Linked DNA regions of Rattus norvegicus. The protein of the gene in region 1 interacts with the protein of each later gene in a pairwise test. Links are inferred from orthologs where the notes say so. Each region holds a gene or a part of one and is shown in the gene's direction. Other genes may lie near its edges. The genes, in order: Rchy1, Gorab and Klhl41.

Evidence for each region.
Region 2: the proteins of Rchy1 (region 1) and Gorab interact in a two-hybrid assay, tested with the Homo sapiens proteins (3 studies listed by BioGRID and IntAct). The link is inferred for Rattus norvegicus from reciprocal best matches to the Homo sapiens genes RCHY1 and GORAB.
Region 3: the proteins of Rchy1 (region 1) and Klhl41 interact in binary tests that used the Homo sapiens proteins (3 or more experiments, as listed by UniProt). The two-hybrid records come from large-scale screens. The link is inferred for Rattus norvegicus from reciprocal best matches to the Homo sapiens genes RCHY1 and KLHL41.

The regions. Positions count from the first base shown.
Region 1 is NC_086032.1:16,393,249-16,401,459, forward strand, and holds the start of Rchy1 (RING finger and CHY zinc finger domain-containing protein 1), read left to right. Parts: upstream 1-4,284; 5' UTR 4,285-4,676; coding exon 4,677-4,766; intron 4,767-8,211. Other genes in the region: Thap6 (THAP domain-containing protein 6), read right to left, coding at 1,026-1,148, 2,110-2,317, 3,610-3,689. UniProt on the Homo sapiens protein: E3 ubiquitin-protein ligase that mediates ubiquitination of target proteins, including p53/TP53, TP73, HDAC1 and CDKN1B. Mediates ubiquitination and degradation of p53/TP53; preferentially acts on tetrameric p53/TP53.
Region 2 is NC_086031.1:78,290,850-78,299,060, reverse strand, and holds the start of Gorab (RAB6-interacting golgin), read left to right. Parts: upstream 1-3,572; 5' UTR 3,573-3,649; coding exon 3,650-3,710; intron 3,711-5,967; exon of another isoform or gene 5,968-7,048; intron 7,049-8,211.
Region 3 is NC_086021.1:74,842,384-74,850,494, forward strand, and holds part of Klhl41 (kelch-like protein 41), read left to right. Parts: coding exon 1-844; intron 845-4,126; coding exon 4,127-4,284; intron 4,285-4,387; coding exon 4,388-4,495; intron 4,496-7,000; coding exon 7,001-7,186; intron 7,187-8,111. UniProt on the Homo sapiens protein: Involved in skeletal muscle development and differentiation. Regulates proliferation and differentiation of myoblasts and plays a role in myofibril assembly by promoting lateral fusion of adjacent thin fibrils into mature, wide myofibrils.

The DNA.
Region 1 (8,211 bases):
TCTGATCTTTCCAAGACATTTAACATGAAGTGTGTTGAATTTTGTCAAATGCTTTCTTAGTTTCTAATGAAATGATCATGTGTTTTTTTCCCCTTGAGTTTGTTTATATAGTGAATTTTGTTGGTGGAGTTCCATATATTGAACTATCCTTGCATCTCTGGGATGAAGCCTACTTGATCATGATGAATGATCGTTTTGATGTGTTCTTGGATTTGGTTTGCGAGAATTTTATTGAGTTTATTGCATCAATATTCATGAGAGAAATTAGTCTGAAGTCCTCTTTCTTTGTAGGGTCTTTGTGTGGTTTAGGTATAAGCGTAACTGTGGCTTCAAAGAACAAATTGAGTAGTGTTCCTTCTGATAGAATTGTGCACTAAACCCATCTGGTCCTGGGCTTTTTTTGGTTGGGAGACTTTTGATGACTGCTTCTTTTTCTTTAGGGGTTATGGGACTGTTTAGATGGTTTATCTGATCGTGATTTAATTTTGGTATCTGGTATCTGTCTAGAAGATTGTCTATTTCCTCCAAATTTACAAAGTAATTTTAAATTCATATAGGAATGCAAGGACTCTCTAATAGACAAAACACTTTGAAAAACTAACAAAGTGAAGAGACTAGTAAATACAACCTTGAATACTCATAAGCTATTGGCCTATGAGTCATGTATATGACTGTTCTTCAAGAAAACCAAAGATACAGCTATTTTTTAATTACATATTTCCATGTAGAAAATATAATACTTAAAGGGAAGAATTATTTTATGGGTATAGTAGCGTTGAAAAAGCATTCTTCAAACTAAGTATGTAACCACATGATTACCTGTTTCTATATTGCTCTAACATACATTCAAAGATAGTGGTCATGGGAAGCACACCTATTTGGAAACATTATATATTGAAGAACTCCACCAACAAGCCTACATTTTGTTTTTCTTTGTGATTCTTATGCATTTAATCCTAGTAGAGAGGCCATATTTTCCTTAAAATTATGAACTAAAAACTTAGATAGTAAATAGTTTTACTTACAAAAATGAGCTGGGGTTGGAATTCTGCAATGCATGAGGCGCCAACAAGCTGGTGGCCACGGTTACTGACAGGAAGGGTTTTGAGAATGAAGTTTTTTCTACAATGAAGCTTTTCTCTTTTCTCCTGTTAGGAACAGTTAATAAAAGCCATTCAGATATTGCATCGATTCCTTCCTAACTCTGTGTAGTGAGGCATCACACTCCTTCCCATGGGAACTGCTGCCCAAGTCAGTAGCTTTCATTGTTCACCTTAACAGAGCATCCCTAGGGCTCGTCTGTAAACAAAACATTTCCTTAACAATGACAAGAGGAATGAATCAGAGAGGCCACTCCCTACCAGCTGAGAAAAAGAGGACAGGAGAGGACCCGGATAAGTAATTTACAAGAAGTAATAGTGCTCCACAGTTACTGAAGAAAATGCATTCTCAGATGTATTAAGCCACGAGAGACAGAGCCATCAAAGGCAAAGTGGGTGACTCCCAGCATTATCGCTGATAAACAGCAGAAGCCAACTAGGTCTGCTACTCAACCTTTCTGTTTTCTCTTTCTAACCTCATCTCTCTTTCATTCTTTTCCTGTTCTCATCCGTTTCTCTCTCTCCTTTGGTGTGGCTTTACTTGGAACCATATTTCGGTTCTATTTGCAGTTTGCTCTTGAGTTTGTTTTGTTTTGAGACAGGGTTTCTCTGTGTAACTGGCTACGCTGGAGCTCAATCTGTAGACCAGGCTGGCCCTGAACTCAGGGATCTGCCTGTCTATGCCTTTGGAGTGCTGGGATTAAAGTCTTGCACACCACAGAGCTCTTGCGTTCTTAATGACTTCCAATCTGAGACTACCTTAATCTTCTCTGTTTTTAAGACACTAGTTCTGAATTAAAACATTTTTCTACATCAGTCTACTTATCTAGACCCTGGTAACGTATATTTATGAGAAGCTATTGGCCTATGAATCGTGAAAGCTGAAGCTGCAGTCTATGAAAACTCACAGAATACACTTCAAATGAAGAAAGCAGCACACTCATCCAACACAGGTACTGAAAGGGCTTCAGAATTGTCACCGAGTGAGTGCCCACAGCTCATAACAAACCTGTAAGTGACAGGGAGACTCAAAGACAGAAGGGATGGCTCCTGGTTTCAGCTTAGTGTTTGGAGTGCTTCTGTCAAAGTCTGTCTTCTTGAAGTGCCTCGAGCACAGCACATCTCCTTTTTTGGGCTCCCAAATGCCTGCAGTATTCACATCTAGTCTTTTCATGGCTAACACCCATTTTCTTTTGATGTTTTCATCTGTGGGGAATCTAAAAAACAGTAAAAATATATTTTAAATCCAAATACTATTGATATCTTCAAACTGAATATTTCAGAAATCATGATTCCTGGTTATATAACAAATTTAAAAAGTTACATGTCTATGTATCTGTGCGCGCGTGTGTATGTGCATTTGTGTATATGTGCGTGTAGACATGCACATAAGCATTCCGCAGCATAGGTAGTATAGATTAAGGGCAGTTTGTGGGAATTCACTCTCCTTCCATCATGTGATTCCTAGTTACTGAACTTAGGTCATTAGTCTTTGTGACAACTGCCTTTACCAGCTAAGACATTCTGTTGGCCTTATAGCTCAGTTTCAATATCCAGACTTTTCTGCCAACCATTCTTTATACACATGGCCTTTAAATTTTTATCATATCTTATGAATGTTTCAATGGCCATTTAGCATATTTTATCAAGATTTGCAATAAAAGGTTTTTCTTTATCTACAGAAGACCTCTGGCCTTTCCCTTTCTGAGGTGATATCCAGAATTTGTCCTCAATGACTAGGAGGGCCTCTTGTGCTTTTGCTTCTCTGTCAAACCTGAAAATTACTTGTACAGCAACTCATGTATAGCAGGTCTATAAATGCTTTGTGAACGCATGCAGAGAACAGCTCCAGAGTCTAGAGTTCTGGAGCTACTATTCTGACAGATGGGAGGCAGTAATCAGATTTCTCAAACTTTCCAAGCTGGTTCAATATTGTTTTGGGATACAGTAGCACATACACACCTTTTATTTCCATGCCTAGTTAAAGTAACTAGATCTTTCCCTTTTCAGCTTCACAAAAATCCTAAGTATATTTATTAAACCCTATTAGATCCTTCCTATGGATATCACAGGAATGGTCTAACGCTAAATTAGAATTCTCAAACTCTATCCGCAATGCAGTTAAATAATCCTTGGTCTGAATTTGTAGTATATAGTGAACAGCTTTGCCTCATCTATTTCTAAATAGAAGGTATGGATATTTAAACAAAGAACCATCATTTAGATTGTAAATACATATAAACAATAGTGAACTTAATAGAGTTAGAATACAAACATTAGCAAAGGTGACTCTGACAATTTGTGCGTGGTGGTATTTGATTTTTGGTGGTGGTGTTATCTCGTCTTTCATTCCTTGGCACTTAAAACTTGCACATTACAAAGGAACCACTGTCAATTTTAACGAGGTTATTTTAAAGGAACTTGGGAACAAAAACTTGTAACTGCAGACTCGGGTAGAGTAATTTTTAGTAAAAGTTAAAAGTATTCTGCTGAGTACAGCAAGTCTTACACATGAAATGTCAGTCCTTTTAACTTGGAATTTGGCAAACAGCGAGAAGCACATCCAATGGCCGAGCAACATTTCACCATGATTTTAGCAACATAACAAAACTGTAAGAGAATTAAAATGCGTTAGTAACTTTAGGGCTAAGCCAAAGGCATCTCCTCCTAGACAATCGCCTCCCCTCGCCCCCATCCCAACGTCTGGTTTTGCTGATAAAATGTTCTTGGTATTTTTATAAAAGTCTTGGTATTTTGTAAGAGCTGACATCTAGTTATGCACCTTGAGGTCTGAGATTCCAACTTTGTGGGCTTATTTTTCTCATGTTCTTACGGGGTCAGATTTTCTCTCCCACAGGTCTGTGCCCACTAACGCCTGCTGATGTACTGTTTGCCACTAAACTTTCAGCCTGAGCGTCCCCTTCCCCGGGGACACCGCACACGATTGTCCTTCCAGTGTCGCTCCAAGTTGTGATCTCATTTAATGCAGTGGTGTTCTCCCCCTACCCATCTGTGTGCCTGCTTTTTTTCACTTTTCATTCCCATATCTTGGATGGTGACAGGTACCTCTTTTAAAGGAGGCGGAGGGAAAGTAGAACCGACCAACCGCGGGCTCTAGGAGCTGCGCGCGCCGCCGCCGAGCTCCGCCCCTTTTGGAGGCGGCCGCGGGCCGAGCAGAGGGAGGGCCGCTCCTCACAGGCGCTGGCGGCCCAGGGCGGCCTACAGCAGCGCCCGCCCGGCGTCGCAGTGGTCCCCTTCGCCCCGCAATCTGGGCTGGCAGCAATGGGGGGGGGGAAGAAGAGCCAACCTAAGAGTTATTACCGTTAGCAGCGACGACAGCGACTAACGTCGACGACGGAATAAGCGTCTCACTTGGCTTTCGCCCCTTCCTCCAGGAACCGGACATCCGGCTGCTCCAGATCACGTGATCATCCGCCATATTGACTGTAGTGGCCTCTGCTCCGAGGAGGAGGGGTATCAGACCGGCTCTGCTTCTTTAAGGCGTGGCTTCCAAGCTGGGGGAAGGTTCTGTGGATTGTGTGGAGGGAGGTGGAGGAGGAGGAGGAGGAGGAGGAGATGGCGGCGACGGCGCAGGAAGATGGCGTCCGCAGCCCGGCTCCAGGGCCGCGGGGTTGCGAGCACTATGACAGAGCCTGTCTCCTCAAGGTGATGACTTTAAAGGGCACTTACTGATGAGCTGCGGCCCGGGCAGGTTGGGCTAGGAACTTAGTCGTGGGCATAAATTTTAGACTGCTCTGCTTGTCAGGACACCTTCCATCTGGAATTGGGTTCCCCTTGCAGGAAACGTTTTTTGGCAAGGCGTGCATGAGTTCTGTACTCGATCTCAGCTTTTGTACTTTGCAAGCAAAGTTCTTGTTTGTAAAGATCTGGCCCTTGCGTAAAGTCACTTCCCTGGTGGGTTTACTCCTCACTTGCGGTTGACAGTAGAATGAGGACGTGAAAGGCCTGTCCTAAGCAGTTCTGTCAAGTGTGTATGATGCAGCAAGGGGAAAATCAGAATATAATTTCAGGATGTATAGTAAGTTTATAGTATAGCTTGTCAGCTTCATTTTGCTGTCTAGGAATATGCCTAGACCTGTCCAGAAAAAAATATATGTGTGAAATGAGAGTTGTGTAATTGCCATTAAGTTGGGTATCGGAGAAGTGCCTAGTGCATATATGCTATCATCTTTCTTGGCTTGAGACGTTCTAGTCATCTAGAGTTTTTAAAAATGACCCTCACACAGTTAAGACTTATCTGATTTTTTTTTTTTTTAAAAGAAATAGTGTTAATATTTTGTGTTGAGAAAGTCTGAGATTTGAGCTGAGGTTATAACTCAGCCTTAGACTCGAGTTTAAAATGCCGAAGGCTTGGCTTCAGTCTCTAGAAGTTTCCTCCCATTGAGAAGAAACTTTGACTGTTGGAATCTTACAGCTTTCCCCTCATACTTTAGATATGTCCTTAACTTGCTCTGTAATTTTGAGCAAGTTACATTTTAAAGGGCTTGTTTATAAAACACACAATTTTAGAAGGAAGTCTTAGTGGTAAAGGCCTGTACTTCCAGAAGACGCACACGTCCAGCTATTTTTGAAGCTGAGGCAGAAGGAATACCAGCCTGGAGGTGCTATTGCCAATGAGAAAAAAATGGAGCTGGGGCTGGGGGTGTATATGGGTCATTGCTAGAGTACTGGGCTCACCGGAATGAGCCGCCAGATCCAGTCTTCTGTGCCAAAGGTGAACGTCTTTCTTTATAAACAGTGCGATGATTGCAGACTAGAGTGTTGAGGAGGTGTGACCCCAGAAATGACCAGTAGGAAATTAACTGTTACTCACAGTGGTCATCAACATTTTCTTTTTTAACCCTAACAGTCAGCCCTGCTGGTCACTGAGCTTAAAAGTTAGGATTAAGTGATAGGCTTAGATCTGTAAGACAGCTTAAACCTTTTTCTGCAGGCCACGGCTTGGTGAGATTCATTGCATTGGATGAAGTTTTTTCAAACTGGTCAGTTGTCTAATGTATAAGGAGTTAAATATTATTCTTTTGGTTACATTCCTACTGAAATATTTTTAAGGTTTCAAAGGTTTAAAACTGAATTTAACATCTGCTTTTCCCCTCCTACCCCTGCAAAGAAATTGCACAACCAAATTTGTGTTTCACAGCACTTAAAATATTTTTCTCTGAGTGTCAAGCATTGTTTTTCTTTCCCCTCTCCCTTTTGCTTAAATAGGAGAGGCCAGCTGAGGTGTTTTAAGGAGCAAGTCATGTACTAGATCAAGTTTAGCTGTTCACGTAAGAGAAGGAGTGACAATTGGCTTTTGATTTGGCAAGGGGAGGTCACTGTTGATCTTAACATGTGTCAGTGAAAGACCCAGGATAAAGCTTCCTTGGAGGGGATACTGGAAATAGCATAGAGCAGTTTTGGACTTTTATTGCCAAGGAGAGCAAAAATGTGGCTGTTTTGCTGACAGCTGTGTCACAGTGTTTCTGCACACTGGTCATTTTGTAATGCAGCAGGAAAGAGAACCAGTGAGTAGTCACAGTGGGAAGACCCAGCGTACAAGTGAGGCTGATCTTGGCTGGCAAGGCAGAGCGTAGGAGTTTGCTTCTCTATTGCTGCAATAAACACCAGAACCAAAAATTACATGGGGAGCAAAGGGTTTATTGTTTGCCCTTCCTGTGACAGTTTATTAGGGAAAACCAAGGCAGGATATCCTGAAGGGCAGGTACCTGGAGGTAGGAACTGAAGCTGAGGCCATGCTGGAATGCTGCTTACTACTGACTTGCACTCCATAGCTTGCTAAGTCTTTTATCTCCTTCCTTCCGTCTGCCCTTCCTTCTTTCCTTTCTTGCACTAAAATCATTTATTAAATCTTAGCTCATACTCATAAACATTTTTAATAACTTATCTGACAAATAGAAATCTTTCAGCAAGCACTTTGGTTTTCTCGAGGAAAAGTTCTTAGTTAGTTGGCTTGTGAAGTAAGTTAATTGCTTTGTTCATGGAACATTTTTTGACTTGAAAAAGATTGGTCATTCAAGCTTAAGTATATGGCGACATTTTCTCAGAATGAGGGAAGGAGTCAGACTTGTGACAGAGAAATAATTAACAGAGCTTTGAACCATTAGTAACCTTGAAATGAGACCTTGTAGCTGTAGTGCACTGTCAAAAGCTCTTTGCTATCCTTAAGAGCTTTAGAGTATAACAAGGCCCTGAGTTTTAACTGCTGTGGTCTAAGTCTATGACTGTGTCAGAGGAGGGTTGGGATACAAAGCCATTTAAAGTGAGAACATTTAGGTATTGAAGGGATCCTTGTGGATGTTTTCATATTTTGGTTAGAGTATGTTGGGGGAACAAGAAGCCAATAACGTTTCAGCATAAAGGATGAACTATGCTATGGTTCATTTATAGCACAGGAACCCCACTGGCCTAGGGATTTTTTTTTAATTTAATGTCTTAGTTGGGGTTTCTATTGCTGAGACTAAACACCATGACCAAAAGCAAGCGTATTTGATGTATTCTTCCATATACGTCCATCATTGGTGGAAGCTAGGACAGAAACTCAAGCAGGGCTGGAACCTGAAGGCCAGAGCTAAAGCAGAGGCCGTGGAGGGCTGCTGCACACTGGCTTCTTTCCCTTGGCTTCCTCAGCTTGCTTTCTCATAGAATCCAGGACCACCAGCCCAGGGACGGCACCCACAATGCCCATGTGGCCCTCCCCCATCGATCACTTACAGAACACCTTACAGCTGGATCTCATGGAGGCATTTCCTCAACTGAGGCACCTTCCTCTCTAATGACTGTAGCTGTGTCAACTTGATACACAAAACCAGCCGGTCCAGCTTTTTTTTATTTCTCTGAGAATGTCTTAAGTTTGGTTACCCCCCCCCCCAAATTTATATTTATTGCATCCTATGCAATATTAGTTATATGCATCATGATTAGTAAATATTAGTGAAGTTAAAACATTTTGTGTTTAGATGTTGTCTTTTTTTTTTTTTTTCCGGAGCTGGAGATCGAACCCAGGGCCTTGCGCTTGTTAGGCAAGCGCTCTACCACTGAGCTAAATCCCCAACCCCTAGATGTTGTCTTTTTTCCTTTTAAAGATTTA
Region 2 (8,211 bases), on another chromosome or scaffold:
GAATAATGTCAACCATAGGTCAAGAGATAGACCAAGCAACCAGTTGGCAGGAAGAGCGTACAGATGAAATAAAAATAGAGAGTGAGAGGAGGCTAGGAGGATAGACAGCGGGATGCACCAGAAGTAGAAAGGGGGAACATTCAATTGTTTTGTTTTGTTTTAAGATATTGTGGAGTGGGAGAATTGTTTGTTTGTTTGTCCTTCTGAGATATTAGTTGTGGAGGAGTCAACTGGGTGACTTCCCTGTCTTTCTGAGCTAGCAGATTTTCATCCCAGCATCTGGCTCCTGAGTCTTCAACTGGTAAAATTGAGCAATTGGGATTTTGTTTTTAAACCAACATCTGCCGTATACTGCAGCCACTGTAAACTAAGCTACTTTGCCATGCCTTCTATTTCACCTTGGAACACTGACTGCTCTCAGAAACTGAGAGGCAAAAGCAGCCTTACTCTTCCATTCTATCTATCTGGAGTGAAGAAGGTGCCTAACATCGGACCTTAAAAAATAATAAAGGCCCTTCTGATTTTCCTCAACTAGTTAAAATGCGTTTATTAACTAAAAAGTTCAAAGCTGCAAGAAGAATAAAAAAATATTTCATATTTTCAGCACCATAGAAATTCATTCTAGAAAGAAATCTCAAGTGCATTAAATGTGAAAATGTTATAAATGAACATTAAACTTAGAAAGGTTTGTTCTTTTAATACATAATTGGTTTTTAGCAGCTGCTAGTCTGTTTTATGCTGGGTAAATAAGAGGTTAAAGTTTATATCGTGGAACTCTTATCAAACTGGGGGATAGAAAATAAAAATGTAAAATACAAACCGCCTAGATATTACACTCAGTGCTGTATAAGTCATAAAAGTGCAGGAAATAGGAGGCTGGTATTTAGATAGTGTGGTCGTATAAAGCCTATGTGGACTTGAGGACCATAACTTAAGCAGGAAGGATCAATGGACAAGGTGAAGAGAACAGCTTAAGGAACGGTGACTGGGAAAGCTCTGGCTAGGCCGGCAGAGAGGAGGGAGAAGCCCTGGGCATTCTAAAGGTCCGAGCAAATCCATCCGATTGGAGTTTAAGGACAGTGAAGAAAGACAGCTTACTCTAGAAGGAGGAGGAGGAGGCCAATGACGTAGGATCATAGAGGATCTGGGATTTTATTCCAAGTGAAGTCGGAAATTATTTCCCAAGTTATGAATGTTACCTTGTGTGGGAGGATGTGTGCGGGCGTGTATACAACGCCATGGGGATGGAAATCTGAGCACCACTCTGTACGAACTTCTTTCATTCACCCTCATGTGGGTTACCAGGAATTGAATGCACGATGCCAGTTTCCACAGCTCGTACCTCAATCGCCTGAGCCGGCCGGGCAGCTCAGTTTTATAAATGCACTAGACACACAATTCTATTTTTAAAAAAATATCAGTTATTTTTATTGTTTTACACTGGGTCTCACATCACAGCCAGGGTGGTCTCTAATTCACGGTGTAACCCAGACTGGATTCAAACTCATGCCACAGCCTCTTGAGTGCTGGAATTATAGGAATGGAGCACCACATCTGGCTCTAGATTTTTGGTTTTAAAAAAACACCAATCATCTAGTGAAGAATCAACCGGGGAAAAATATTACAGTCCAAATTGTCACATATGATACCTTTTTATAAACACACAAACATGCTGAAATATATATATATATATATACAAATATATATATATTTAAATACAAAAATGTACATTATGGAACTTAAAAGAATATAAAAAGAAAATACTACAAAATATAGCTACTCAAGACTGAGTTTCTTACAGATAACTGAAAACAAACTAGTTAAGAGCCTGAACATATAGAGATTAGAAAAACACAGCCTACTGCTCTGGCAAATAAGGAAGCCTTCTGTGTGTAAGGGAAACAATAACACGCCTGGTGTATATGGTATAGGATCCAGATTTTTACACAAATGGGGAAATTTTTCCCTTTAAATATAGTTGGCTTAACATGACTGAGATTTCCAGCAAAACTCTTCTAGAGATATTCCCTCAACTCAGAACAAAATTCTCCTACAGAACAAGGACTTTTGGAACTGAGTTTCCACCAGTATATCCTACAGCATTGTAAAAGTGGGCTCCTTGAGGAAGGGCCAACAGAACAAGGAAAAGGAGATTTGGAATGTTACAAATGGGAAAGTATAACTTTATACAGATGGATTTTATTGGCTTTTATTATCTCTTGCTGGTGCCTTGATTTGCATTCATAAGCAAGGCAGAACCTTTTAAAATGCCATCATTATTGACTCTATTAAGATTAGTGATAATTCTTGAAACTCATAGAAAATGAATGAATAAAATGTAACAGAGAGCACACACATTGGTTTAAGATTGCTGTTGGGTCACTAGTAAACGGTTATTGTGTGCAGAGGGTAAGCTGAATCGGCTACCAGATTGTGACAGATTGCTACACTTTATCCTGTAGTCAGCGTATACCTGTTTACATATTTAGTCTATGTTCAAAACTTGAACAAAACTAATCCTTTTAGATGGTTATTTTTACCTTTTAAATATAGTGAGAATAAACTCATCTTTAAGATAAGCATGTGTGGCATCCTTGAATTTGGGAAAAACCCATTGAATTTCAAAGTTTAAAGATTATAAGAAAGATGTCGAACCTTTTTCTGATACTTATCTAAACTGAACTGCTCATTCCAATCATTGGTGTCATATTTTACGGTATGCTGTTTTATTTCAACTTGATTAAAAACATTGACTCCTAGGCTGGAAATTAATACACTTTTAAATTTTCAATGTAGCCAATGTAATGTTTTTGGGTTTTAGTAAAAATAATGAAAATAGAAACGATTAGTCGGTTTAAAAAAAACGCTGACTTAGGCATACATTGACAAGTTTTGCAGCTTTTAATTTTTCTAAACTCTACTTAAAACGTTGAAATGGAAGCTCAAGAAGACAGCTTTAGACCAAAAATAGTCATCACTTAGGACTTGAGTGTGGTGTGGTGATGCGGCACTTCTTTCTATAGTCCCAGCACTTGGCAGGAGGATTTGTGAATTGGAGACCAGCAAAATCTCTTGGTATAAGGGTTAGGTACTGAGTCTCATTCATCAAAGAAATAAGAAAATGAAATCTGCTAGATAACTACTGTCTGGCAGAGAACTGGCCATTGATTATACCTCACCCCTACTCCATGTTTCTCCATGACTTAGAATCTACAAGCCAAGGATGCTCCGGTACAGCCCACCTCCCAGGCAACACTGACTCCGCCCAGCTGGTCAGACAGGACCCGCCCTCTTTAGGCCTCCTCTGCCAAAGCCTCCCTGTCAGTTTGCATCAGCCCTTCTTCTCATTCCCATAGTCCCCATCTTGCCAAAATTTATGGAAAAGGAAGAACTGGAACGTGTAGCAGAGGCCCAGGAGTGGAGACGAAGGCGGTGGTGGTGCGGTCCGTCGAGATGGTTCTTCAGGCATCGCTCGGACAGCTCCAGGGGCGCAGGCCCCCGAATGACGAGAGGGTCCTAGCGCCACAGTTCAGCGCTCTGATTGGCTGTTCGCCGCATCCACTGAAGGAACCCGGATGTGCCTGTGGAGTTGTGTTGGCAATCTGCGCGCCGGGATTTGGGCACTCTTTGGGTGCCTAGGGCTAGGCGGATGGCTCAGGGTTGGGCTGGCTTCTCTGAAGAAGAGCTGAGGAGACTAAAGCAGAATAAAGGTAAGGTGTATATCCGTGTGGGTGTGGAGTCTCGAGTCTGAAGGACAGGAGGCCTTCCTAGTGGGTGAGGGGGCGTGGGGGCTGGAGCTGCAAGTGGAAGGACAGGAATCGTGGGGCTCCCAGGTGGCTGTTTTAGCTGCAGAGGCCCCGAGGGTTTCTCTTTTAACATCCGCTTTCTGATGATTTAATATACCCCTGTTTAAAGAATTGAGGCTAGGGAGAGAAAGCGAAGCCAACACCAGAATGGCTCGTCAGGGAGGACTGTAGCACAAATCAATGGTTGCAGACTTGGCGTCAGGGTGACTGAAGAGTAGCACTGCATATATATACAGCATCATAATTGCGAACTTATAAAAAGTTATTGCGAAAGGGATCATGAGAGTGAATAAGCGTGAAAGAGGTGGTAATTTATGATACATCTGTATTACGTTTACTTCTGGCTACCGGATGAATTTGCACATCTTTCCAGTTTTGGGGAATCGCAAACCAAAAGGGTTTTTGAGAGGTTAAGATTTGAAGTGCGTGTATGTGTTTGTGTGCACGAGCACAGTGCACTCACATGTTTGTCTTTACTGCCTTGAGAGACAGCCAAAATCTAGTGCTCTCCCCAGGGCTTTATGGAATAATTATAGATCAATATATGGCCTTGCTACAACGCTACTTCTGATTCATTAAATTTTCTGGTACTTGGTAGGAAACGATGTAAAAACGCTCTTGACCTGTGATTGAAACTTCACAAAGATGTCTGTGCTAATCTTGGTAGTGCCCATCACTTCTGTGAGAATTTTCTGCCACTATTAACGTTATAAAAAGTATATTTTATTTAAGGATGAAATTAAATAAATTCTTCCATGTCTGTAGTTTGTGAGAAATTTGGATAGGGCTCAGGTACACTGTAATTTTTAGCCTAGATATGAGAATTATTTAGGGCTGACAGGTGCAAAAGGAGGTAAGTCGCTAACATGAGGTCACTGTGCCTTATATACATTTGGGGGAAATAGGGTTGGTCTAGGGATCTTTTAAAACTCTCATGAAATTATCATATCAGATGTGTCCCAACTGATTCTGTCCAGCTGGGTGGTTTCAGGTTCTTTTGTTCTGTGAATCATTCTTCATTCACATACCTGTGTCTAAAGTACAGGCATCTAGATCTGATCTGACTCCGTTCTCAGCATCTGCTTTTGAATTAGGTGTGTGGTCCAGGGGCTTCTTCCGTCCTTGCCAACAGGGATGCTCACCTGTCATGAAATATAACTTCTGCATCAGAGGTGTTAAGATGAGCAGGACATCTTTGCCTTTAGAGACCTTGTAGATTAATGAGACAGACCGTGAAATACTGTGGGGGTAGATATTGACCAAGTGTTAGCCACAGAGCAAGTTCATGCTGAGGATTTAATGAACTCTGGGAATATTTCATGGAGGTTAAATGTTGTCTTTAACTTGCCAGGGTTTAATGTAGGGCTCCCATATGTTTGTTATCTTAAAAAAAGTATATTTTAACTATTTCTTTAATTTGGATATGGTTAGAAGTTGATAAGAACCTAAACTTCAAGGCCTGTCCCTTGGTCATGAAACACTAGACTGCGTTTAAAATCACCCATATGACATCTGAGAACAGAAGTATCTTCCCACCTTTATGTAGCCTTAGCGGAACACTGTGATCAGCACAAAAATACCAAGTCTTCTACCTTGGGCTTCCCATTCCTAAAGCTGCAGAAATCACGTCCTCCTTGCAGCTGTTAAGAATACAGTTAAATAATCTAGGAAGATGGGATCCATTGCCAGCAAAAATAAGTACAGGGTGCTTTTGAAACACTTGAATGCATATGCAGTCAAGAATGTTCTTAGCCACTTTGTTTATAATATTCAGAAGTTAGAAATAAACCAGTTGTTTACTAGCAAGCGAGAGGATACATAATACAGTTGATGGGACTGTATTAATCATTAGCTACATTCATTAATAATGAGTTTTATTTTTAAAAGGAACAGGTTTGCGGCTGAGTAGATAATGGCATAGTATAGTTTATATAGGAACAAAATTAGGTAAAATAGGCGTCCTTTAAGACTATCTGAAGACTATCAAAGAAGTGAAATAAAATTGTGATTGATAGAGAGGCGAGGGTGTGTGATGGGGAGGGAGAAATACATACAGCAGCACTGGTAATTAAGAAATTAGGCTAACAGTTTTAATAAAAGCAGTAAAGAAAACCTTGGAAACATAGCCAGTTGTTTAAAATAATGAAGGTTTATTTTTCAGTCTAGTGTCATGTAACATGGGTTGCCAGGTGAAACTGATACACAGTCATCCCATATCATCTTTTGATGCTGTCACACGGCAGTTATTTTTGGCAGGAAGAAGAGAAGATTGGAACTAGAACATTGGTAATTAAATGCTTTCTCTGGCAAATAACTTTGATAAAAAGTAAGTCAAATCATTTTATGGAACGGAAACATTTGTTATATAATGAAATGTTGTCACAGGGAGACGGGGTATGTCAACTATAGTCATCGACATCTTAAACTGAATTATTTTCACTCACACAGATTAGAAGAGTGTATGGCATACATATACCCCAATAAGTATGATGTATGTATACACACATGATCTGTGGCTGATTTCATATGTAAAGAAATGGAAGAATGCAATACAAGTATGCTGTCAGTTTTAAGATAAATATTTATTTCTATGTGCCCTTTATTATTCCTTTCTACTCATTTATTTTATGGTGTGAGCCCTTTGGCCATAGCATGGGTGTGGCAGTCAGAGGCTGTCTTTTAGGAGTCACTTCCCTCGTTCTACCCTGTGAGTCCTAGGAGTCAGCACTCAGGTCTTCAGGCTTGGTGACAAGTGCATGTACCTGCTCAACCGTCTTACCCACTGCCTTTATTCTTGATAGTACGAGTCCCGTTCATCTCTTTGTTTTATTTAGTAATTTCCTTGCTATTCTTAACAGTTTATATAATAATTTTTAAAAAAATTTTTACCAAATTTTAGGGGATAGGAATTTGATTAGAATTGCATTGAATCTTTAGATCAGTTTGGAGATATTTAGTATCATCATGGAAGGGTGCATGTGTGTCCATTTATTTGCCGTGTAACAAATTTTAGAATTTTTTCCCATATAAATTTTGAATGTTTTCTGTTGTTAGATTTTTTCTTCCGTAGAGTTATGACCATTTCTGGCATTGAAATTAATTATCATGGTATCTTTAATTATCATTTCTCTTATAGTATGTGTGAATATAAAAGAAATAGTAGATGTTTCAAAGAAAAGGAATATGAATGTATGCCAACCATCAACAAGAAGCAGAGCATTAGAAATCAGAAGCACAGTGAGGTACCACCTTATGCCCTCTTGTTTGCCAAAGTTAAAACATTAAACAAAACAATACCATGCATTAAAATGGATTCTTACACATTGCTGGACAAAATGTGTTTGGAAAGCAGTTTAACATCTAGTGTTACATGTTGTCACCCAGTACTTTGGGGGTAATATCCAAGGCAAAATTTAACAGCCAGGTTCACAGAGGTAAAATCTAAAACCAGCTTCAGTGTCTCTCAGGGAAGAAGATGGGGAACTTGGGCTTGTCACTCTGAGGATGTGTCTCAGCCCTGGAAATGAGTGACTGTGACAGTGTCAATAAGTGTGACACTGGGGAAGAAATACTTGCTCTTGCAGTACACTTTGGGTGAAATTAATACTTTTTAAAATTATTTGTAGACTCATAAGAAAATGATCAACATGACTGGGGTCAGAGAGAAGGATATAATTATCAGACACACAGATCACTGACATGTAGACACACACACACACACACACACACACACACACACACACACACACACGAGAAACATTCCCCAGGAACTGATCGTAGCAGTTACGAGTCTCACTGATCTTCCAGAGGGCGTGGGTTCAGGTCCCAGCACCTACTTGGCAGCTCACGCCCTTAAGTAAACTGCAGTTCCTTGGGATCTAATGTTCCGTTCTGCCCTCTGAGGTCACGGCATGTGCATGCTGTATATAGATGCAAGCAAAACACTAATATTCATAAAATCTCTTTTTAAGGTATTTAACTTTTCAGGGTTTTTCCCTCCTTGCTTTTGATGATCCAGTTTTAAAGTGTTACTAGTAACGATAATCATCAGTCATGTTTACAAAATAACACGCTTGTTGGCCTCTGATGTCTTTTGCTTTCTGGTTCAGAAAATTGGACCTAGGGTGCCATGATGTTTCTTCCCCTCTGTATCGTCAGCCTGGCTTTTAGTTGGAACATGCCAGTGCAGATTAAGAGTCACTTTCCACTATAGTGTAATCTAGGTTTTGATGGTTGTTACGGTCCCTATGTTTAAAACCACAGCCATTCTTATAAACCTGCTGCTGGAGCCAGAGTTAAGTGGTTGAGCACTTGCCTGGCATGTGCAAGGTCTGGGTTCAGTCCAACACCACAAAATAAATAGAGTAAGTAAGTAAATAAATAAAAATAGAAATAATTTTTAAGT
Region 3 (8,111 bases), on another chromosome or scaffold:
ATACCTGTACTCTGCCAGTATTGATCTCAATGACGGGAACGTGCAAGACATCTTCGCCCTGTCCAGCCGCTTCCAGATTCCGTCGGTGTTCACCGTCTGTGTGTCTTACCTTCAGAAAAGACTGGCTCCTGGTAACTGTCTGGCCATCCTAAGATTGGGGCTTCTTCTCGACTGTCCAAGACTTGCCATTTCTGCCCGGGAGTTTGTGTCAGATCGCTTTGTGCAGATTTGTAAGGAAGAAGACTTCATGCAACTGTCCCCACAGGAGCTGATCTCTGTCATTTCAAATGACAGCCTCAATGTAGAAAAGGAGGAAGTGGTATTTGAGGCCGTGATGAAATGGGTACGGACAGACAAAGAAAACAGGGCGAAAAATCTTAGTGAAGTATTTGACTGTATTCGTTTTCGCCTTATGGCTGAGAAATATTTCAAAGATCATGTCGAGAAGGATGACATAATTAAAAGCAACCCAGAAGTCCAGAAAAAAATCAAAGTTCTAAAGGACGCTTTTGCAGGCAAACTTCCGGAACCCAGCAAAAGCGCAGAGAAAGGGGGGACGGGCGAGGTGAACGGTGATGTTGGTGATGAAGACTTACTTCCTGGTTACCTGAATGATATCCCCAGGCATGGAATGTTCGTCAAAGATCTCATCCTCTTGGTCAATGACACAGCTGCAGTGGCGTATGACCCCATGGAAAATGAGTGTTATCTTACTGCCCTAGCTGAGCAGATCCCCAGAAATCATTCCAGTATTGTTACCCAACAGAACCAGGTCTACGTGGTCGGAGGACTGTACGTGGACGAAGAGAATAAAGATCAACCCCTGCAATCCTACTTTTTCCAGGTAAGAACGCACAGGCTGGGGTTCACCACCCTTAGCCAATTTGTGAATTGTCTGGGGGCAGGGTGCTTACATACCATTCACACGGATATCCCAGTGTGCTCTCTTACACTGTGATGCTTAGCAGAGTATCATAACTAGACTTCATATTTAATAAAAAGGCATGGCGAAGGAAGTCTTTATACCTAACTCATGACTCACAATTTCCTTCTTACCCTTTCTCCCTTATAGTATATATAGGAAGCTGGTGGTAGTTACAGTTCTTCAAAGCTCAGGGTTTCGGTAAAGACTGACCTTATAATCTTTAACACTATTACCTGATAAATAGGTTAGAATATTTTCCTTAAAGTTATTGGTCTAGGGTTGGGGATTTAGCTCAGTGGTAGAGCGCTTGCCTAGCAAGCGCAAGGCCCTGGGTTCAGTTCCCAGCTCCGAAAAAAAGAAAAAAGAAAAAAAAAGTTATTGGTCTATACCACGATGCCTTACACACTGCAAGGGAGTGGGACTTAGTCTGATTTTCTCCTAATCTGGGGAAGGAACATTTCATTTCTTATTTCTTGTTACTGTATAAAAGGTTTTATTGGAAAAGAAAGGACCCTTGTATATATTCTGTACACTTTGGATCATATAAAAAAAAAAGCATTCCCAAATGTCACTGATTAACTTAACCCACACCTTCAGTATTGCCAATCAATACTTTGGGGCTCATGGTTCAATCAGTAAGAATTTGTTTAGGTCATAGCTAATCGTGGCCTGGGATTTTCAGGTACTTAAGTTGGAAAGGCCAGAGATAGACAAGTGTAGAATGTCATACCACAGTCACCACATGCTTTCAAAATACACAACATACCATGCATTCACAAAATACTACCTGTCACCAAGTAGCTAGAGAAATATAGTCAAAATAATAGATACTAATCATGTTTCTTAATTTTCTAAGTTCCAGTGAAAGACACTAGCAAAAGTATTTGAATGTGACCCAGAGATTTCCCCCAAGCTCTATTTTCAAATTCAGATTTACTTTAGAAAGGGCAAATCCAATGAAAGAGATTTTAAGTATATCTGAGAAGTGAAAAATAGCAAATCAAATGGATAGGTAGACAGGCACAGACAGACAGACAGGTCAGACAGATAATATAGTCATAGACCCAAGAAACAGTTACAGCATCGAATTATTCTCAACACACACATGCGTGTGTGCGTGCACACACACACACACACACACACACACACACACACACACAAACACACACTTTAAAAATATACCCACGGCCCACACTCTATTTTCAAGGCCTCGTTTTAACTTTTGCTTTCTCCATCCTGTTGTTTCCCTTTAACTTTACTGTGTCTGGATTTGCAAGTTAGATTACCTGACGAAGCAGGAGCCACGGAAACAGTTACACAGGGGAAGGGCATTTCCCCTGCCGCTTCTAAAAGGCACAGGTGTAGATCAAGATGCCTGAATTGAAATAAAAGGGAGCTTCCTGTGAGAATTGCAGCCTTTGTAGTGTTCTGCTTGGCTGCAGGTGTGATGTGGATTACAGAGTGAACTGGCATTTGGCATATGACTGTGGGGATTCGGGGACCTTATCAAGACTGATTTCCCCTCCTCCGTGGAACTCATAGATTCAAGTTTTAGACCGCAGGAAGCCCACACTTTGAGTGTTCTACATATAAACCCTAATTTTAACAGTGGGATCTTGAAGGGTTTAATAGCTTGAGAACTCATCCACTGAAGGCACTGGCTGGCCACCTACTGTCATCTGGTATAGAAAATGGTCCAAAGATAAGATAGGAAGGTGGGTACCACACAGTCTGGATGGGACCTGGGCCCTCAGGTTTGGGATTAAGATAGCTGTTGATCCATTAAAAATAAAAGTGCCAAAGCTGCATAATGGCATCTCAAGCAATAAAACGCCTATAGACTTATTAGATGGCATGGTATTGAAAACCACCTAAAAAGCCCCGTGAAGTCGGGCAAGTGTACCCACCCGTCAGCCAACTGAGAGGACTTGTTTGAGTATTTTGCACAGAACTTGTCAGACTTCCATAAAGGTTTATTGTTAGTTCTACGTTATTACCTAGTACTCCCCCGACTCCACAGACGTGCTAGGAATCAAACCCAGGGGTTTGGACATGTAATCTCAGCCCCACTGGACTACATCTCTCAGCCCCGTGACACTTTCTTGACCGCAGATTCCTTTCCAAGAGTGAAAACATTACAGTCACAATCTGGATGCTGAATCAAAGTGTCTGCAGCTAACCCTGAGCACAAGGGGATTAACCGTGTGTCATGCTGTGTCTTTTGGTCTCAGAACTTTAACTGGCCCTACTAGACCAGACATGGAATTGGCTTCCAGAGAAGCCCCTCCACATCACTACCAGTCTCTCCTGTTCCAGGCTGTATCGGTTTTGAGGTGAATGCATTCCTCCTCACCTGGAAATGGCATGCAACGGCGCAGCTACGCCTCTCAGTTTCCTCGGCAGTGCTACCCTAAAATGCGAAAAAGAGTACGTTACCATTTTAGAAACTAGGTGCCAGGATGAATCCCTAGTCAGAGCGCGATACTGACAGGTCCACCGTAGAGCTGGCTGCAAGCCAGACTGCTTCTCAGCATAAACCAGAAAGACGATATTTAAGATGACGTCACCCAAAACACAGGTATTGAAATGAGTATTCTTCTGTGCCCAAAACAATAGAACACAGGTAACCTAGACATGTTTAAAAGATGGAAAAGAGATACTGCCCTCCCTCTCAGTGGTCTGTGGACTGAGCGACAAGCCCAGCTGTCCCGGGTGCTGGCTCTGGGAATGTGTTAAATATAGCACGCAGGGGTCATTCGCATACTGTGACCCCTGCCATAGACACCCTGTCTCTTCCCCAGTGTCCCCAAAGTATTAAGATTCTTTGTTTCAAAACTGACTGAGGCACCTCCAGGGAAGGATTTGACAAGAAACTGCCCAGTTCTAACAATTCCATTTTAGTCTCTCTTCTCTCTTGATATCGTTTTTTTTGGGGGGGGGGGTTGTTTTTGTTTTTGTTTTTGTTCAAGTATTTTATTTTTATAGGCCAAGTAGATTTTCTCATTCTCTTTAGTAGCTCTGAGCCAAACTCTAAGTATGACACTTTAAGATTATTCTAAGCTAAAATATAATACTTTAGGACTATAGTTGTGTAGAGACCTTCATTCATCTCTGGAGATTTTAAACATGAAACACTGAGAACTTCTTAGTTACGCCTGGTAATATCTTTCTATGTATTTCCATAACTCATTTCTTTTCCAGCTTGATAACGTATCATCTGAGTGGGTTGGACTACCGCCTCTCCCGTCAGCCAGGTGCCTCTTTGGTCTGGGAGAGGTAGATGACAAAATCTATGTGGTCGCCGGCAAAGACCTTCAGACAGAGGCCTCCCTGGATTCCGTGTTATGCTATGATCCTGTGTAAGTTGACGTGACAGTCCCACAACGTTCCCGCTCCATAAGCCTACGACAAATCCATGTTTTCACCAGCTGGAACATGAATTCTATTATCATTTCATTCTAGGGCTGCAAAGTGGAGCGAAGTGAAAAATCTTCCTATTAAAGTTTATGGCCATAATGTGATCTCACATAATGGGATGATATACTGTCTGGGCGGAAAGACAGATGACAAGTAAGTGCCCCAAGGTTTCCTTTGGATTGACATCTGAGTATGGCTAAGGTTTCTTCCTTTTTATTTATTTATTTATTTTTTACACTATATGCTGAAATGGGACTTGGGTCTCTAACACCATATTTTGCAGATAAAAAATGCAAATAAAATTCTGAAAAGTTTTGGGAGGAAATTGTAATTATAAGGTTTTAAAGTCACTAGACCAAAGAGGGAGGAATGTAGGCCGCTTCCACACGAGCACAGTCCCTCAGTGATACGCATCCTGATCGTGGAAGAGCAGCATCTAGGAGCACGGTCAGCCTTCTATCCAACTGCCTTTTACAACACAGACCAGTAGGCTTTCTGACTCAATGAACCATAAGCAGATTAACATTTAAATCTTCACTTTGTTATTATCTAATGTGTATGGGGTGCACGTGGGGAAGCACACTCAGATGTCAGAAGACAACACCAAGGAGCTCCTTCCACCATGAGGGATCTAGGGATGGAACTCAGGTCACCAGGCTGAAGGGGATAGAAATTTCTGTTGTACTCAAAGTATATCCATTAGCAAAACAGTACGCAGAAAATGATATGATTTGTACTTGACGTGTATAAGAGGGGAGTTGTATTGGTTGGAGATTAAAAGCACAGTAACTGGAGGAGTGCAGTCATTTCTCCAGCGACATGTTTGTGGCTCACTCACTCTCAAGTCTCCATTTCACTACTTCTAGCTAGTCCCTTGAGAGAAAACCAGGGTACATCTCATGTAGGACCCCATCTTGGCTTCTAGGCCATCAGTTCTCAATCTGTGGGTCACCACAATCAACTCTTTCACAGGGATTGCCTAAGACTGTTGGAAAACAGACATTTCATCACAATTCATAACAGAAGTAAAATTACAGTTATGAATTAGTAACAAAAATAACTTTTGGTTGGGTGTTCACCACAACATGAGGAACTGTATTAAAGGGTCACAACGTTAGGAAAACTGAGATCCACCGGTCTAAGCCATCTGTAGTTAGGACAGAGATCTAACATCTCAGACAGTGCTCCTGCGCTCAGTTAAGCCAGCATCCCATCTAGTCAAATGATCACCTTTCATTTACAGTGTGAAGTCTCCCATCCTAGAGAAAGGTGCCTTATTTGGTTTATCATTTGTGCAGGCTAACTGTGAATAGAGCTGTCCAACCATGGAAAGGAAAGGAAATTATGACTTGTAAGGGTCAGTTGGGCACAGTAGCATGGACCCACAGTCCCAGGCTGAGGCCAGAGAATCAGCTGGTCCTGGGATTTCCAGACTACCAAGACGACACAGGAACACCCTATCCGAAAACAAACCACAAAACCAAAAAGATCACAGGTGCAGCAGAAAGAAAATCAAATAAAACCTTCTGTGTCGAGTAAAGAGCTCTATTCTGGAGTGAATTAATTTTATTCAATTAGAATGATAAAACAAAATATAACTGAACAAGCGCTGAGTTTTTTATCATCTCTCTCCATATGAAAAGATGGATATCCAGAAATGAAATCCCTTCCGTAATCTTTGCTTTCTCCATCAAATGAACACTAATTAAGGGTAGATGTGGTAAATGCACCCCTAATTTGGACATTTCCTCTGAGTATGTGGAACAGAGAATCCCTATTAAGTGCATTATGACTTTGAAACATTGGAACTCTGCCAAAATGGTTTACATTGTTCCCTTCAGATAACATTAGTAACCAGAAAACCAATCCGTCAATAAGAAGCACTCACGTCTGCCAGAAGTAATATATTAATCCTGAGACTCTTAGTACCCAGAGAGCATTGCCTAGCAAATGTCCAAGAACTTTGAAATAAATCATTGTGAAAAGTAGAGCGCTGAGGCTGAGGGATGACTCAGTCGCACTTTGTAGAATATGGAAGGCCTTGCATCCAATCCCAAATACGTGGGGAAGGGCAAAGGGGACATAAAGTGCCCTACTGAATATGATTTTCTGTTCTGACCTCACCAAGACCTTCCTTGCCATAGACAAGTTGTAAAGGAAATGTTTATGCATGGTCTTTCTCATATTAAGAAAAAACTACTCTCACAAAAGAGTTTTTGTTTATTGGCATTACCAAACTGGTTACTATTGGGATTTAGGACTATTGATCGGTTATGGAAAACTTTGAGACTCCCAAGGTCTATCCTGAGAATAATTCAATGAATCTACATGTTTCTGGTGGCATTTAGCATGTAAAAGTGTTTTCATCATTAGTCAGTCTACATGATTACTTATGTAATCTACAGTCACAATGGGTTTTTAATATAGGATCTATAGATAAGACTGGACTCACTGGGGAAAAAAATTTTTTGGGTTTGAACCCAGAGGCTCACACATGCTCTGTTAGTACTCTGCCACTAAGCTGCATCCCTCAAACAGTGCCAGGTTACTTTAAATAAAGTACTATATACTCCATCACAAACAGAACTAAATTATTAAAGCAGCTTTCACAAAAAGAAGGTTCTAAAGGGAGCATTTATTTTCTTTTTATGTTCACAGAAAGTGTACGAATAGGGTGTTTATCTACAACCCCAAGAAAGGAGACTGGAAGGATCTGGCTCCAATGAAAACCCCTCGTTCCATGTTTGGAGTGGCAATCCACAAAGGCAAAATCGTGATCGCAGGAGGCGTCACTGAAGATGGCCTTTCAGCTTCAGTTGAAGCCTTCGACCTCAAAACCAATAAGTGAGTTGCTCTGCTGCAGCATAAGAATCCTGTACGTTAGTTTTGCATCTGGGTAGCAGCTACACTTTCTCAGCCTCGGGAGGGGAAGCCAGAGAACCTTGGGTTAAAGGGGAAGGATTTCCCACTCCCCATGCCTCCTCATTAGGAAAATGCGGCTCATGAGTTAGTGCTGACACATCGCTTGCCTGCCTCTGCGCTAACTGAATCCATCCAGTCATGTAGCAAAGGCATGATTACCTCTGAAACACTGTACAACCTTAGGTGGATATGCATGTCTGAGGAACCGGTAGTTTACAAATTAAAGGGCCAGGCGTGGTGGCGCAGACCTTTACTCCCAGCACTTGAGAGGCAGAGGCAGGTGGATCTCTGAGTTCGAGGCCAGCCTGGTCCACACAGAGAAATACTGCCTCAATAAACAAAATCAAACAAAAATAATGAAAAGATTTCCACTTGTTGGCAGCTGGCACTCATACACGATGAGTGCTTTACATGTTTCTTACTTTTTTTTAACTTCTGTTTTTATTGGATTTATGTGAAGATACTTGACTAATATTTTATATAAAATTAATCTTCCTAAATTTTTGAGCTTATACACCTAGGTGAGTACATATGTTTATACAATCACACATATATTGTATTTTATACATTTTACACATAGCATATATACAATAGCATGTTCATTGCCTTAGCAATGAAAAATTAGAATAGTGTTACTTTTTTTAAAGAAACCAAATGTATATGATTACAAAATAATGTTGATAGCCGGAAATTACAAGGCATTTTTATGAAACTAGTTTTAAATGATTATTAAAAATGATGTTCTTAAAGACTGGACAGTAAGGGTAAATTCTCCAATGCAAAAGAAGCTTAAATCTGATGCACTCAGTGGGCGGGGCACACCTTTGACTCTGAGTTCCAGGCCAGC